Linked DNA regions of Elephas maximus indicus. The protein of the gene in region 1 purifies or fractionates together with the protein of each later gene. This does not show direct contact. Links are inferred from orthologs where the notes say so. Each region holds a gene or a part of one and is shown on either strand. Other genes may lie near its edges. The genes, in order: TDRD3 and FMR1.

What was found.
Region 2: the proteins of TDRD3 (region 1) and FMR1 purify together in Homo sapiens (affinity purification with mass spectrometry; 4 studies listed by BioGRID and IntAct, with this or other methods). This does not show direct contact. The link is inferred for Elephas maximus indicus from reciprocal best matches to the Homo sapiens genes TDRD3 and FMR1.

What each region holds. Positions count from the first base shown.
Region 1 is NC_064832.1:49,987,441-49,996,267, forward strand, and holds the start of TDRD3 (tudor domain-containing protein 3), read left to right. Parts: upstream 1-5,642; 5' UTR 5,643-5,678; coding exon 5,679-5,719; intron 5,720-8,827. UniProt on the Homo sapiens protein: Scaffolding protein that specifically recognizes and binds dimethylarginine-containing proteins. Plays a role in the regulation of translation of target mRNAs by binding Arg/Gly-rich motifs (GAR) in dimethylarginine-containing proteins.
Region 2 is NC_064846.1:8,486,713-8,495,121, reverse strand, and holds the start of FMR1 (fragile X messenger ribonucleoprotein 1), read left to right. Parts: upstream 1-4,897; 5' UTR 4,898-5,147; coding exon 5,148-5,198; intron 5,199-8,409.

The DNA.
Region 1 (8,827 bases):
AATTCCCTGGTCTTTAGTTTGTGGAACCCCACTGCTATTCTTCATCAATTCATCAGTTAATGGACATTTGGCTTGCTTCCACCTTTTTGTCTGTTATGGATAATGATACTAAGAACATCCATGTACAAGTTTTTGTGTGGACGTATGTTTTCATTTCTCTTGGTTGTATACTGAGGAGCGGAGTTGCTGGGTCATATGGAAACTCTACATTTAACCTTTTGAGGCTTGGCCAAGTTGTTTTCATGGTGGCTGCACTATTTTACATTCTCCCAACAATTCCAATTTCTCCACATCTTCACCAACACTTGCTATTGTGTTGCCATCCTAGTGGTTGTGAAATTGTATCTTTGGGTTATCTGACTTCTTCTTATTGAATTATAAGAGTTCTCCGTATGTTCTGGATACAAGATCCTTTTCTCTCCCATTCTATGGATTGACTTTTCACTTTCTTGATGGTATCCTCTGAAGCACAGAAATTTTAAATTTTGATAAATTCCAATTTATCTATTTTTTTTCTTAATGCTTTGGATGTTACAGAGTCCCTGCGTAGTGTAAATGGTTAAGCGCATGGGTACTAACCAAAAGGGTGGTTGGAATCCACCCAGAGGCACCTCAGAAGAAAGGCTTGGAGATCTACTTCCAAAAGATCACAGCCATTGGAAACCCTCCGGAGTGCAGCTCCACTCTGAAATACATTGGGTTGCCATCAATCGACTTGACAGCAATGAATTTTGTGTGTGTATGCGTTATATCTATGGTCTAACCCATGGTCATGAAGATATACTCCTGTAATTCCTTCTAGCTTTTTTATTTAGGTATGTGATCCATTTTGGGTTAATTTTTCATATGAAGAAGGAGTTCAAAGTTATTCTTTTGAATAGAGACTGAGATGTTTCCATCATTCATTGAAAAGATTCTTTTTTAAAACTGATTTTTTTTTTTTTTTTGCCAGTTTTCAGACTTCTAGCACATTTCCTGAAGAACTTAGCAGTTTTTCAAGGCTCCTGGGAAGTGGTTCATCTAAGTCCATCACAGGTTATTGCAGTATTCCCTATGATGTAACTAAGGAGCCCTGGTGGTGCAATGGTTAAATGCTCAGCTGCTAACCGAAAGGTTGGCAGTTTGAATCCACCAATGGCTCTGTGAGAGAAAAGACCTGGCGTCCTGCTCCCATAAAAATTACAGTCTTGGAAACCCCATGGGGTCATACATGGTCACTGTGAGTCCGAATTAACTTGGTGGCATACAACATGACGTAACTGGTTTAGGGTCAAAAGATTTCAAGTACATCAGAGGGGCTAGGCGCATTTATAATCTCATTTTTTATTCTGGTATCTTTTCCTACTTATCCACATTCTTTCCTTTTCAGTCTGAGAACATTTTCCTTCATTGATACGACAGAGGTAAAACAGAGGGTGAATGGATTCTCAATCTATCTTTTTTTCTGTTATTTTACATAATTCACTGAACAGATTTAACTCCTTTTTGTCTGCTTATACCTAACAAAGTTTTTGTCATCCTTAGGATTTCTTCCAACTTTCAGCTCATTGTGGACTTTCCATTATATGTGAATTAGTGATCTTACTAAAAATGGAAAACCATTTTTTTTTTCTGTCTAGCCAGCTATAATCATACTTCCTGGCAATAACTTATCTACAGAAAAACCAAACCAAATCCATTGCCGCTGAGTCGATTCCAAGTCATAGCAAACCTATACGACAGGGTGGAATTGCGCCATAGGGTTTCCTATGCTGTAAATCTTAAAGGACACAGACTGTCACATCTTCCTCCCGAGGAGCAGCTGGTGGGTTCAAACTGCTGACCTTTTGGTTAGCAGCCAAGTGCTTAACCACTGTACCACCAGGGGTTCCCTATCTATAGAACATAACTTCAATTTAAAAATTTAGGTGTGAAGGAAGTGAGTATAATCTATATTTTTTCTTTCTAGTCTGAAAAAATTAAACCCATAGAAAAGTTAAAAAAAAAAAATACAGTAGGTACCCGGGCCGTTAAATTACATTTACCCATTGTTAATATTTTGCCATGTTTACCTTCTTTCTCTCTTATTTTGTTATAGATATTATACATATTGTTTCATATTTTATGTATTATACGTATTATTTTATATATTTTAAATGTTATACATATACTGTATATGTATATATTTTATATATTATACATATATTATTTTTTGCTGAATCATTTGAAAACAAGTTGTACACACTACAACTCTTCAGCCGTGAATGCTTTGGCATAAATTCCCAAGATTAAAGACAATACTATTATCACATCTGAGAAAACCATTATTATACTAATTAGTATCCACTCTATCTTTAAATTTCTCTAATTGGTCCCAAAATACCTTTTTATATATATATATTTTTTCTTAGACCAGTATCCAATAAAGGCTAGCTTATTGCATTTTGTTTTTTAATTACAGTGGCTCTTTTGAAGAGTCCAGGCCACGTTTCTTGCAGAACATGGCACGTTTGGGATTTACGTCTCTCCATGTGTAATTCCTTCCAATATCCTTTATATGTCCCCTAAATTTGTGTTTGGGTCTAGAGCAGGGTTTAGATCTAGAGGTTGACCTTGGCATTACTGACATTTTGGGCCAGAAAATTCTTTGTTGGATGTTGCGGGTGGGGGCTTTTGTGCATTGTTGGATATTTAGCAATATCCCTAGTCTCTAACCACTGGATGCCAGTTGCCCCCGTCTTCCCCATCCTCAGGTTCTGGCAATCAAAAATGTCTCCAAATGCCCCCTGCGGAGAGGGGGCAGAATGGGACCTCTGATTGAGAACTGATGTTTAAAAGAAGCTTGCTTAAATTCAGGCTAAATCATTTTGGCAAGAGTATCTCTTAGATGTTATGGTCTTCTAATTCATTACATGAGGAAGCACATAAGATTTTTCCAGTATTAGTGATGCTAACTTTGGTCACTTGTTTCAGATAGGGTTTTTTTAAAGGTACATTTTCCCTTTTGTAATAAGTAATTTATGGCTTGATACTTTGAGACCATGTGAAGATCTGGTATTCCTACAATCTTTCACCCAGTGGCTCTTAGCCTCCATTGATGAACTTTGCTTGAATATATTATATCTGGAATGTAAAACATTAGTTGGTATTCTTCTGTAAACAAACACTTTCATTCCTTCCTCGCTTTTATTTATTCCAGTTGCGTTGTGAACGTATGCATTTTTTTAAATTCAATGTGTTACAATCAAATCTTCTAACTATTCTTTTTTAATTACCATACCGTCCCAAATTTCGCAGGTGGGAGCACTCGACCCATCCTTTAAAGCATTTCTTTAAGTAAGGGAAGTTAGTATTTTGAGGAGCATTTTGTTAAAATTATTATAAACACCATGTAAAGATGGTAAATTTCTATCGTATTATATTGCACAGGAGAGCAAATGTGTAAAAGCTTCACATTTAACCACTGAGTAATTCTGCTGACTGGAACAACATATTTTCACAGATAACAAGTTACACTAATTGCAAAATGTAAATAATTGTTAAGAGGAGATTCTCTCTGACCAACAATAAAAAGTAACCAGCAATTTGACTCATTTACCTTTAAAGGAGTTCCTGGGGGGCACAAACGGTTAAGCAGGCAACTAGTAGCCAAAACGCTGGCTGTTTGAACCCACCAGAAGTGCCCCAGAAGATGGTGATCTGCTTCTGAAAGATCACAGCCTTAAAAATCCCAAGGAGCAGTTCTACTCTGCACACATGGTGTCGCCATGAGTCGGAATCCACTTAACAGTAACTAACAAACAACAAACTCACGTTTCAAAATGGCAAATCTTGCTCCTGGATATGACTAGTGCCCAGAAATTGAAATATACTTATAAAAAAATTATACTTATAGCAAATGCATAATATAAACACTTTAAACTACTGCGAGTTGTAGAGAAGAGAATGGAGTTATTTGATTCTAAACGTGCTGACAAACACGTTTCCTTAAAATTAGTATCTAAGCAATGTTTGGAAACATTTATTAGCATTAGATCTACGCAAGATATCGTGTTTTTAGAACTACGATTTTTGGAGAAGCCCAACAGATATAAACCAAAAACCAAACCCACTGCCATCCAGTCAATTCTGACTCATCGTGACCCTAAAGACAGAGCAGAACCGCCTTACAGGGATTTCAGGGCTGTAAACTGCCACATTTTTCTCCCCCTGGCTGGTGGTTCCTACCGCTGACCTTTGGGTTAGCAGCCGCGCGCTTTAACCATTGCACCACTAGGGCTCCTTTCAAAAGGAATAAAACCGAAAGGAATAGCTCAGTTAAAACGAGAAAAATTTGAATTATGCAGTTTTCGCTCCACCCTCGCCATCATCCCCCTCCTTCTGTAACAGCCATTTTCCTCCCCAGCTCCAGGGAGAGGCTCTGCCCAGTTCCGCAGTCTCTGTCCAAGTTTGTGATGATGGCTTCAAATGAGGCAGCCTCTAATGACGCAGCAGTGGCGCGGGGCGGAGATAAAGTTTAAGTTCCTAACAGTCTCTCTCCAGGACTTGGCATTTTAATGGGGACAGCGCCATTAAAAAGCGCCTTTTTTCCCTGAGGCGCTGCAGCAGTGACAGACCGCGAGGGTGGGGCAAACTTTTAGGCGAGCGGGCCCGCGGCCCCTATCGCCTTCCCTGATTGGCTGGCGTGCGTCGCGGCTGCCCAATCGCGCAGAAGCGTCCTCGCGCTGCTCGGCGCAGCCGTCGCGCATGCTCGCTCGGGGACCCGCTCCTGCGCTTTCGCCCGTCTGAGCGCCCAAGAAGGGCACGGGCGAAGCGGGGTGGGAGTCGGAATTGACGATGTCCGTGCCACGGTCGTGGGGCCGCGCTGGGATGAGGACGGTCCCCGTGAGAGTGCGACAGGAAAGACAAACACTGACACAGCTGCCAAATTTCCCCTGTCCCCTACGTACATGTTTCCTTGGGGGTGACCAGTTTCATTGTGGTGTCCGGCCTGGACCCCCTGACCTGCTCGTGGAGAATCGAAAAACCCCGAGCTGGCATTATTTCCTATGCGTCCAGCAGGACGAAAAGCGGAGTGAATCGAGTCTTTAAACTTTTCTCCTATGCGGAGTAGGCTGGGAACACCTTTCCTATGAGTTTTACTGTGGGAAACGCGACCTTACTAGCCCGGTAGTGGCAGCGCTGCCCCCGCACCGACCTGTTCCTTTCAATTCCAGCGTTATCCTGCCCTCCCGGAGGGGACTCTCTGTCGGCGCTGGAAACATCAATGTTACTTTCCGCTGTACAAAGAGAACCTCAGTAGTTTCCAAGGCGTGCAACTCAGAAGAGTGGTAAAGAAAACCAGCCTCCGATAGAGGGGCAAAACCTTCCACGGTCCTTGGTGGGTGGCAAACTGGCCTCGGAGCCGCGCTCCCAGCACTTTTTCAGGCGTTCCCAGCCTCAGGCGCCCAGCAGCCTCCCCGGCCCCACTGCAGACCCGCCCCTGCGGCCGCTGAGAAAACGCGGCGAGCGGAACCCGCACGCGGAAGCGCCGGCCGCACTGAGCATGCCCAGTTGCAGAGCCGACCAGAGGAGTTTTTTTTTTTTTTCTTTCCCTTTTTTTTTTTTTTTTTATTTTTGGTCTCAAGCAGGAGCCCCCTCCCCCCACCCCGCACCCCCCCCAACCCAGCCCCCCACCACCCCTGGCCTAAGCAGCTACCATGGCCGAGGTTCCCGGCGCGGCGTTGTCCCAGGCGGGTTGGTAAGTGGCGAGTCCCGCCGGCCGCCAGGCCGCGGTCCCGGGCCGGGGCCCCGAGGAGGGTTGGGGTTGGGGGCGGTGGGTGCGTGTCGGGGTAGGCGGAGGCCGCCGCCCGCCCCCGGCCTGTCCCTGGGCACTGGGGCCGGCTCCGCCCCCGGCGCCACGCGGAGCCGGGCGAGTACCCTGGTTCCCCTCCGGGCCGCGGTGGCGGCGGCCTGGGCCCCGGGCGGCGGGCGACGGGCCGGGCTGGAGGCCGGGGGTCGCGGCCAGGCAGGGCGGCGACCCAGGGCCGAGCCAGCCGCCAGGAGGACCTGCCGCGCCGCCTCTCCGGGGTGTAGCTGTGGGGGAAGCAGGGAGGCGAGAGCTGGAGGGGAGACGTGCGGGGAGAGGGACCAGCGCGGCAGAGCCGCGGGCCCGCGGGAACTTGGGGAGACCAGGGTACCGCCGTGCTGCCGCCCGAGCCACCTCCTTTCTCCTGCTTATTTCAAAGTCCTGTGCAGACCAGTGTGGAGCTGCCCTCCGCGGCACACACACAACTTCTGAAGCTAAGAATAACTGCATTGTAAACTCGTATGGGTGCTCCGTAGAAGTTTTCTTGAAAAGACGTCGTTGTTCTGATTTTTAACGTTTCACGTCAAGATTTTAGCATCTGAAAGCAATAGAAAATTAAGCTAAATCAAGTAGTTTCTGGAACTGCGGCCATTACCGCTGTAAACATGCGGTTTAATTCAGTAGCGCTTTTCCAAGGCCTGAATGGGCACAGTGGGGGCTGAGCGGTAGGAACCAGGATGAAGGAGATTTGTCCCTGTTCTCTGGAAGTTCACAACCTTAATAAGAAGATGAAAGAGGGAGGCGTTAAAAAGACAAACACCAAAATAGGGGGAATAGTTGGAAGCTGTTCTGAGGAGCAGGCAAGTGTGCTGTGGAATTACAGGGCAGGGAGAGTTAATTTCCTAGAGAAGTGGGTTTTGGAAGATGGTGAGGAAAAGGCTTTCTAGAGCTGAGTTCAAGGAGATAAGGCACAGAGGTAGGGAAAGTGCTTATTGGTCTGTGGAACAGATGCTAGCTAGATCCAGTAGGAGACTGTCCGATAAAGATTAAGACCAGAAAAGGTAGGTTGGGACCAGATTATGGAGGTTACGAATGCCTAAAAGATGTGGACTTGATTTCGTGAATAAAGTTTTTCATCAGTGGAGTGAAATAATCACACCTGTATTTGAAGAGCAAAATTAGAGCAGCTCCCAGATCTACGGGCACTGCTGTTGACTCCATTTTACAGGTGAGGAGACTGAGGCAAAGAGATGTTAAGTAACTTGTCCAGAATGACATAGCTAGAAACTGGTAGTTGAGTGCTGAGTGCAGGGTCCTGGTTCCAGGCCCGTTGCTTTTAACTGTTATGTATTATTGCTCTGCGGTTTTTGGGTAGAACATCATGGCATAACAAATTCTAGCATTAAAAACTCACATTCAATTTTTTGTTCTCTACCTGCAGTTTCTTTAGCTCACTAGGCTGTTTCGAATTATCTTGGCTCATTGTTTTATTTTAGTTTTTCCACATTCTTCATTGTTTTGATCCTTAGTTCTTCAAGCTAGTCATATGATTTCATTTGCAAGCTCAGTCTTGCCTCCTAGTGAAAGGCTCACTACACGGGTTTCAGGTACAGACTAGATTTGCTTTTGGATTCTAAGCTTCTTAAGGGCAGGGAACTGTATTTCATTTTTCTTTATATCTGTAGTTACAGGGATCAAGTTACATTGTAGATTCTCAGTGCTGTCTCATATAGTTGACCTTGGAATGCCCCTGCCATTTTTACTTCCCCAGCCAGGACCTCTTACCCAGGTTTAAAGAGAGTCGTTATCTGCTTTATTATATTTTATATTGCCAGCGGTGCTATATTGTAGCATTTGACAGTGTGCATTCTAAGTCGTTTGTTTACATGTTTCTTTCTTCCACCAGGCTGCTGCTTCCACAAGCAGGGACTCCGAGGCAGGAGTAATCTCTAGGGCTAATAAGGGCTTTTTAGCAATTTGAGTTTCATGTAATTTCTGATGGGTCTTGAGCAGACGAGTGCCAAAGACTTGAGGATCTCCTGTGCTGGCAGGTGGCATGTGCCAGATTTTATCTTAAGTAGAGACTTGTTATGTTAAAATATAGAACCTCAGGGTTTAGGCAGAGAGAACTACTGGAAGGAGAATTTTTGACAGGAGAGCAGCTCTTGACCAACTCATTCCGGTCTAACATCTCAGGTTTCCCCTTACTTTTGGGGTTTTTTATTATTGTCACTGACAAAGCCATTTTTCTTAGGACTCAGGTTTTCTTTGTACTTAATTATGCTTAAGTGCTCTGTCACTAGGTGAACGGTTGGAGAGCTGCCTAGGAAGACAGGCCTGGTGACCTGCTTCTGAAAGGTCACAGCCTTGAAAACCCTACAGAGCAGTTGTGTTCTGCACACATGGGGTCACCGTGAATTGCAATCCACTCCATGGCAACTAGCAACAAAGAACAATTACTTGTAGGACCTGTAAAGAAATAGAGGTGAACGCTCCTAAACTATAATAAAATCTGTTCCAACAGCTTCACCTAAAATGGTAGATTAGTAGAATATTTAGTGCTGAAAAGCTTATGTTTCTGAAAATGAGATCTTCAAGGGGTACGTACAGATGGTCTATATAGATGAGTGCATCATTCAGGTTTACATTATTCCTTGAGTACTGCTTTCTGTCTTTAAAAAAAAAAACTACAACAATCAGTATTTTAAAGGCAGCCACCCTACAAACTGTACAGTAATTTTTTTTTTTTTTTTTTAGTGGCCAGTACCACACAAAACATTTGGTTTTGGTGATTTGAACATTTAAACTTTCGGGAGCTCTTACAGTATAGTGGAAATGCTTAAATAATGCACTAAACGGTACCTTAGTTGTTTGTAATACTCAATTATATGCATGGAATAGCTTCACGGATTGATTTGACTCTAAATTTGCTTAGATTGCAATATTTTTTGTTTTCTGTCTTTGGAGATTCATTCCCCTTCAGGGGAATTGTATATTTCTACTAACAGGGATCAGGGCTTTTAAGCTTTTGATTTTTTTTTTTTTTTCTTTAAACAGAAT
Region 2 (8,409 bases), on another chromosome or scaffold:
CAATGAAAAGATATGGCGGAACCTTAAATGCACATTTCTAAGTGAAAGCAGTCAGTCTGAAAAGGCTACATCCTGCATGATTCCAACTCTATGACATTCTGGAAAAGGCAAATCTATAGGGAACAGTAAAAAGATTAGTGGTGGTCAGGGGTTCAGGGAAACGAGGGAAGGATGATAGGTGAAGCACACAGGACTTTCAGGGCAGTGAAAGTGTTCTGTATGATACTAGATACATGACATTATGCATTTTTCAAAACTCTTAAAACTGTACAACACAAAGCGTGAGCCCTCATGTAAACTATGGACTTTAGCAATCATATATCAATATCAGTTTAGCAATAATAACGAACGTGCCACAGGAATGCAAGATGTTAATAACGGGAAACTGTGGGTGTGTGGGGGGGGGTGTGGGAGTATATGGGAATTCTCTGTACCATCTGCTCAATTTTTCTCTAAATCTAAAACTGTTCTAAAAATAAATCTATTAATGAATATTTTTTCCTAATATCTAGTTCAAAGGAGAGGTGAAGATGAGGCAAAATTGTCAGAACAGTGTCAGTAAAGAGGTGAGACTTTCGAAGGGCCCTGAAGGGTACATAGTCCTTCTAGAGTTGGAAAGGGCAGAGGGCATTTCCCTCTGGGATTACAGCAGGAACAAAGACTCCATGGCTTGAATTGCGAAGAAGCAGGAAATAAAACAGAATAAATCAATGCAAAGACAACTAGCAGCAATTTCATGAAAGCTAGGGGCTGAGGCAGAGCCAGAAAAGCTGAAGCATCATTCCAGTATTGAATAAATATAGCCATGGGAGCCGACCCGGCCCAAACCGGTCTGCAACACTCATTCATTCATTCATGCACTCAGTAAATATCTAATATGCACTACTACTGTTCCAGACACCATACTAGGCACTGGGGATGCAGCAGTGAAGAAAACACTGTTTTAACGGAGCTTACATTCTAGTGAGGGGAGACAGACAGGGCCTACTTGGTGTATTCAAGAAACAGCTGGAATGGGGGGGGGTATGGAATGGAAGGGTAGAGGGTGCCATAGAGGAAATAACAGAGGTCAGAAGATGTAGAGAACAGAGGCCAGAGTAAATAAGAACTTTGCCTTTTACTCTGAGAGATTTAGGGATCATTGGAGGGTTTTTTGCCTTTTACTCTGAGCCATTTAGGGATCACTGGAGGGCTTTGAGTGCCAGAGTGACTTGATGGACACTTGGACAGGGTCACTCTGTCTTCTGTGTTGAGAATAGAGAGACGAGGACAAGAGGAGCTGCAGGGAGACCAGTGAGGAGGTTATTGCAGTAACCCAGGTGAGAGAGATGGGGCTCGGACCAGGGTTTTAGCAGCACAAGTGGTAGGAAGTAGGTTCTGGACTCTGAAAAGATTTGCTGATGGATTTGTAGCTGCAGAGTGTGAGAAAGAGTCCAAAAGGACTCCTTTTTAAGCCTGAGCTACTCACTGGAAGGAGGGGGTTGCCATTAACTGTGTAAGGGGAGAATATGGGAGGAGCAGACTCTGAGGCAGGGCTGAATTCACTTGGGCTATCTTGAAAGAAACTGGTTTTTATCCTGAAAGGGGAAATTTCAAGAGTTAGAGATCAGAGTGAGGCTGAGACACAGAGGCAAGTGGGCAAGGCTAAGTCACAGTACATTTAGGTATAAGCATTCACTCATTCATTGAATATTTATTGGAACCAACCACTTTTAATGTGCCAGAGACACAAAGATAAATAAGACATCTTTCCTGTCCTGAAGAAACTCACAGTCCATTGAGAGAAACAGAAATATAAATAAGCAATTCCAGTACATTTCACCATCACAGTTGAGCTATTCAACATTTCCTGAGTCCCTGCTCTATGCCAAGCAGTGTGAAGAGGAAGCAGGCAGTTTGTACAAAGTTCTACAAGAGTACACAAGAAACTGCCTCCAAAGATTTGTGAAGGTATTCACAAGAGTTCATCACAGTGTGGCACTGGGGAGTTGGCAGCAACCTAAATGCCCGTCACCAGGGAAATGTGTAAGTAAAATCTATGGAATACTCAGCAGCAGGTAGAAGCAACAACCTAGGGGTACACCCAGCAATGTGGAGACAGCTCAAAAACATAGTGTTGAGTGAGAAAAGTGGGAACCAGAGATTTACAGTCCAATAACATTTCTGTAAGTGTAAAGGCATACAGAAAATACTGCGCATCTTAAATTATCAAGTATCATAGCAAACAAATTGCAATGGGTGCCTAGAAGAATGAGAGTGGGGATTGAGGGAGATGAGAAAAAGTAATATAAATAATATAAACACTATAAAATACCTTAAACATGAGAAGGGCCTTGAAGGGACTCATGATGACAATGTGCTGAGAATTGAGGTGCAAAGCAACTTCACTCTCTGCACCTGAGGTAAAATAACTAGCTCACAGAAATCCAGCTAACAGTGCTAAGGGATAGTGCTAAGGGTAAGTATTGCTGGGGGACAGGAAGCATGTGGCTCGAGCAGTAAAGGTGGTTGTGGAGGGCTGATATCTTGAAAGCACTGGGTAACTTGAGCAACACTCTACACATGGAAGGTATAATTATTCTAATCTACTCTGATCCAGTCCAGCCTATGGCGAGAATCTCTATTGGAGTCTTCCCATCTTGTGACTCCTCCAGAGACTCTTCTAGTCCAAGGGGTCATTCCGGTTTACTATGGCCTCAAGGAGTGTGGCCTCTGAGCTGCTGCCTTAGAGCTAGGACTGCACCAGCTCTGATGCTGCTGCTCTGGCTGGGGGTGGGGTGGGAAGGGAACGGGGCCTCAATGATGCCTCTCATTCTGGGGCATCTGTCTGGGGCAGTTCATGCTACTTCCCCCAACTCAGTGCTGCCCATCTGTCAGTTAACTCTGGCCCCTCACATTCCAGCTTGAGTCATTTCCCCTTCGCCAAACACACCTTCCTCTCCCCACACTAGGTCATGTCTCATCATTATTATAGGTGCACTTATTTGATGGCAATGGGTTTGGCTTTTTTGGTTTGGTTATTCTTCATAGCCCTTATCACAGCTGCAACTCTACATTTACTTTTCCGATAATTTATGCCCATCAACGGTAATGTGCTTGACTGATAACCAAAAGGTTGGTGGTTCAAACCCATCCAGAGGTGCCATGGAAGAACCCAAACCAAAACCCACTGCTGTCAAGTCGATTCTGACTCATAGCAACCCTGTAGGACAGAGTAGAACTACTATGGGGTTTCCAAGGAGCGGCTGGTGGATTCCAACTGCCGACCTTTTGGTTAGCAGCCAAGCTCTTAACTACTGTACTACCAGGGCTTCCCATGGAAGGCCTGGAAACTTGCTTCCAAAAGATCACAGCCTTGAAAACTCTATAGAACAGTTCTACTCTGCAAAACATGGGGCTGCCATGAGTTGGAGTCAACTCAATGGTAACTGGTTTGGTTTTTGGTTTTTAGGACTGTAGGTTTCAAGTTCGATGTTGGCCGTTTTGCTTTTGTTTGTTTTTGCTCACTCATGTATTGCCAGCACATGAGTTATTGTTGTTAGGTGCCCTCCAGTCAATTTCGACTTATAGCACCCCATGTGACCAAGCAGACCTGTCCCACAGGGTTTTGACTATAATCTTTACGGGAACAGATCATCAGTTCTTTCTCCTGAAGAGCCGATCCACCAAGTGGGTTTGAGCTGCCGACCTTTTGGGTAGCCCTAGTGCTTAACATTCAACCACCAGAGCTTCCTTGGCACATGGTAAACAAAAAATCAAACCCGTTGAGGTAGAGTTGATTCCGACTCATAGCGACCCTATAGGTGCAGTTGGGCTGCTAATCAAAAGGTCATCAGTTCAAATCCGCCAACCCACCTTGGAAACTCTATGGGGCAGTTCTACTCTGTCTTAGACGGTCGCTACGAGCTTTGGCACATGGTAGGCACTCAATAAACTTTTCAGTTGAATACAAGCACCCCAGACAAGGGGAACACAGGCCCAGGAGGATACAGCATGGTGCAGAGGCAGAGATGAGAAAGATTTGGGTTTTGTTTACCATAGAGAGTAAAGTGAGTTGCAAGGAAATGGGTCGTGCAAGGCCCCTGTAGGCAGATCGCCTGTCTGCTACGCACATGCCCACCTACCCTCTTGGTACAGGGTGGCACACAGTAGGGGCAGATATGAGCTGTAGAGAAATGAACAAGTGCTTAACTTTTTTTTATACTTATGTCAAGTAAAAGTATGAAACTGAATTGACCGAAAGGGAACATGTGGGTTAGTCTCGGGTCTGAGGGAAAGCTAAAATTTCCAGAGATGCCAACACAATCCATTGCCCCTCAAGGGACTTGGGATGTATCTCCTACTCTGCCTAGAATGTCATGGTGTGGGTGGGCGCTCTTCTCCCTGTCTGCCTCTAAGGGTCACATTAGCCTGGATGAACTGGTTGTTACTGTTACTAAAGTCTCCTCCAATCTAATTCACCTTTATCCTTGTCTCCCACTCCACCTCCAGCTCAATAAGCCTTTGCTCCGCTTTAAAAAAACAACAACAACAAAAAAAATAAACCACCACCTCCCACCCTGAGCAGCCTGGCCTCAGATGACTGAATGCAGGCGATCGCTACGGGAGGCCCTTTCCCACGCCTCCTCTCACCCTCTCCAGTGACAGGCTCCCTGGTCATCGCTGGGCTTTGCGAAGCGACGCGACCCGTCACTGCCCTTCCCGCCTTCCCGCGCTGGGCCATCCCCCGCACACGCCGAGCCCGCGCGCCCGTCGTCGGGCCTGGCGCCCCAGCCGGTTCCCCACAGCGCGCATGCGCGCGCTCCAGAGGCCGCGGGGAAGGGAAGGGCGGGGCCGAGGGGCCGAGCCGGCGGGGGGAGGGGCGGCGCGGGTCACGTGACGCGGCTTCAGTGTTTACACGCGGAGCGGCCCGGCGTTCAGCGTTCGGCCTCAGTCAGGCGCTCCGCTCCGTTTCGGTTTCACTTCCGGTGAGGGGCCGCCTTGGAGCGGGCAGCGAGCCGACGGCGAGCGCAGGCGGTGGCGGTGACGGCGGCGCCGCTGCCGGGGGGCGTGCGGGAGCGCGGCGGCGGCGGCGGCGGCTGGGCCTCGAGCGCCTGCAGCCCACCTCCCGGGGGCGGGCTCCCGGCGCGAGCAGGGGCGACGAGAAGATGGAGGAGCTGGTGGTGGAGGTGCGAGGCTCCAATGGCGCTTTCTACAAGGTACTCGGCTCTGGGCAGGCCCCATCTCTTCCCTTCCTTCCCTCGCTTTTCTTCGCGGCCTCGGCGGGAGGCAGGCCTGGGGCCGGGCCGGCGCGCTCGGCTGGAGGTGTGGGGAAGGACGGGCGCCGGGCCTTCGGGAAGCCCCCCGAGCCTTCGAGAGCCCCCGGCGCCCGTGGGGAGGAGACACGGGCGAGGAGAAGGGGCGCCCACCCCGGCCAAGCCCCGGCGCGGCAGGCTGGGGATGGGCGAGGGCGGCGGCAGGTAGAGCCAGGCGGGAAGGGCCGGAATCGGCGCGCGGGGACGGCGACAGCCGCTTCCTCCGTCCCCTTGCTCCGTCGCCCAGCTCCCCGCCCGTGGGCTCCGGCCTGACGTGGGGGAGCTGCGGAGGAGCGGGGGGCGCCTTCGGCGGGCCGCCGCCTGTCCGGCCCAGAGGTTTTCAGGTCCCCTTTGGCGTCGCCTTCTGGTCCAGGATTGGGACTTCGAAGAGCGCCGCTGTTCTGGGCGAGGTGTGAAGACAGAGTAGTAAGAAGTGGTCGTCAGTCCCAAATCACGGTGGTAACTGGGTTTACTGCTCTCTCTCTTTGTGCATTTTTACAAGAGCCTCCAAAGTTCCAGAAAGAGCCTAACATATCTGGGCAATCGGTGCATTAAAGAAGTTGGTAATTCTTCTCCTTCGGCCCCCCTCCCTTTTTTTAACGTGGGTAAATTCTGGAATACAGCATCTAAAAAACATTAGCAACTCTACTACTCACTTTAAAATTTTTTTTCGTTTTTTTTAAACTCCCCAAAGACCTGAATATATGCCTCATGAAACTTGAGAAAATTAATTGGGACTGTCTTATTACTGAGGAATTTTAAGAACGGAGTGTTTGGAAATGTTTGCTTTGTGCTCTAAGTATAGGTATTTGCCTCTCTTCTCTTTGGATGTGTAATGTTGCAGAGGACTGTGTTGTAGGGGTTTTGAATAGGCATTAATAGTCCTACTGTGGGTTTTTATTTTTGAAGTTACATCATTGCACATCAACAAATATCTTACATTTGAGAAAAACAGAATTAAAAGCAATGTTTTGGTGGATCAGTAGGGGGTTTGTTAGTTCATATTTACTACAGTAATCTATGAATTTTTGTTTCCTCTTCAATGTCTGTATAACTTCTGTAAGTAAGATCCCACCTTACTAGAGTATTTTGTCAACAGAAGGTGCACATGGAAGGAAGCATGGAAAATAGCTATGGCCATTGTCCAACACAATTGTTAAAGTATTACGGAGTAACTAACGTTTCAAAGGGACATGTTTGGCTATAAGAAAAGCAATCATTGACTCAACTACTTAACAGACTATAAGCTTACCAATTTTATCGCAACATTTGGGGATGAGTATGTTTCATAAAAGACTAAAGAATGTAAATTGTTCCACTAAGAATGATAAAACCTTTTGCTGTACAAGGAAGTGAAAATTAACTCAGCATTTTTTATTCTTCACCGTCTCACCAATATAAAATTGTTAACAGTTGATTCTGCAGTCAAAATTGTGGATGCATTTATTTCAGCAATTCATAATTTCTAATGGTTTGTGTAGAATAGTTCTGGTTCTTAGATTTGTAGTTTTAGTCACTATTTTTGTGGATCTAACTATAGTATACATGACCAGGTACTAATGGTTGAGCAGTATTTTAACTGATTTTTTTTTTTTTTATAATATCAGCTTATATTGGACACCACCCTTATGTCTTTTAGGAGAGTTTGCTTGCCATAGAGGGCAAGTAGCACATCCTGGTCTTGAAGGATTTATTGTTCTTTTCCAGCAACACATGATTTGCTCCAGTGATTTTGCTTGCAAACCGATAGGAATATAAGAAATGCCCCCTATCATTGCCATTAAGCTCCCTTTTTGTTTTTGTTTTTTAACCAAGTGGCTTAATTTGAAGGTGACTTAAAAAAAAAAAAAAGAACCAATTGTTCCTTAGCTCTTTGAGAGGAGAAGAGAAGTTGCTGTTATGTTTATTTAATTAAGGTTTCTTTTTAAGAAAATCTCAACTGATCTGTATTGGTGAAAAAAGAGTTTCTGTAATGAAAAAAGTTTAGCTGTTTATTTAGCTCATAATATTGCTGTGAGTTATAAAAGAGCAACAAAGTAAACTGAATTGCTTGTCGTTAATGTCTGGTGGGATGGACATGAAAAATAGGAAATAAGACCAATCAAAAATGAACTGCTGTAGAGAAATATGTTGCATTTATTAAAAAAAAGGAACCTTGTTCATTGAATTGATAAAAAAAAAAAACTAAACAAATGAAATAACTTCTTTATAATTGAACACAGACTTTGATTTGCCTAACAGAGCCACCATATTGCAAAGTACAGTTCTCCATCTTCTGAGCACATGCTCCAAGTTTGCAAATAAAAACTCAGTACTGAGTATATGCTGGTAACAGTTTTATTCTTTCTCTAGAACATAGCTGAAGCTCAGGATTTAGAATTAACCATGAACCCTAAACCCTAAGATTGCAATAGTTCACTTCTACTTTTCCTCTCATGTTTATTCTTAAAAATTTGAAAGTTAGATTAGTAATTATCAGAGCCACTGTTTTTATTGCTTAGATATTTCTTTCACATTGAGTCAGTTACATGTACCACTTATAGAACCTTGCGTTATTTTAAGACGTGAAACACTTTGAATTATAACTCACAAAATCTTTATAAAGCATTTTCTAAATGAATAATGTTGAAATAAGGTCTTTATTCTAGGGACATCTGCCCAAAATAGTGTAGTTTTCTTTGGACTGAGTGTTTCGATGTGTTGAGAATGGTAATGAATTAGCTCCATTTTAGAGGTAGAATGTGCTTCACTCCAGTAGGAATGCACTGACATATCTTCAGATTCCTACGTGTGTGTACTAGTATGAAAATTACTAAAGATGGAGAAATTGTGTCTTGGAAACAAAGATGCAAAACCTTTTAGTTTTCTGCAAATGTAGTGACTGTTAACCTAATTCCTTGTAATCTGGTGAAATTATACTTGCTTGTGTTTTTATGGTTATATTAACACTTTAATATATCTTATATTTTTACGTTTGTTATCTGAGGAGAGAGACTTTTCATTTGGTAAGTATTATTACAGTAGCTAGCAGCTAAATATGATAAAATGAACAACCGAAAAAATTTTAAAATAAGACATTAGTGGTCTAAAATGTCATTTTAGCTACATAGCCTAC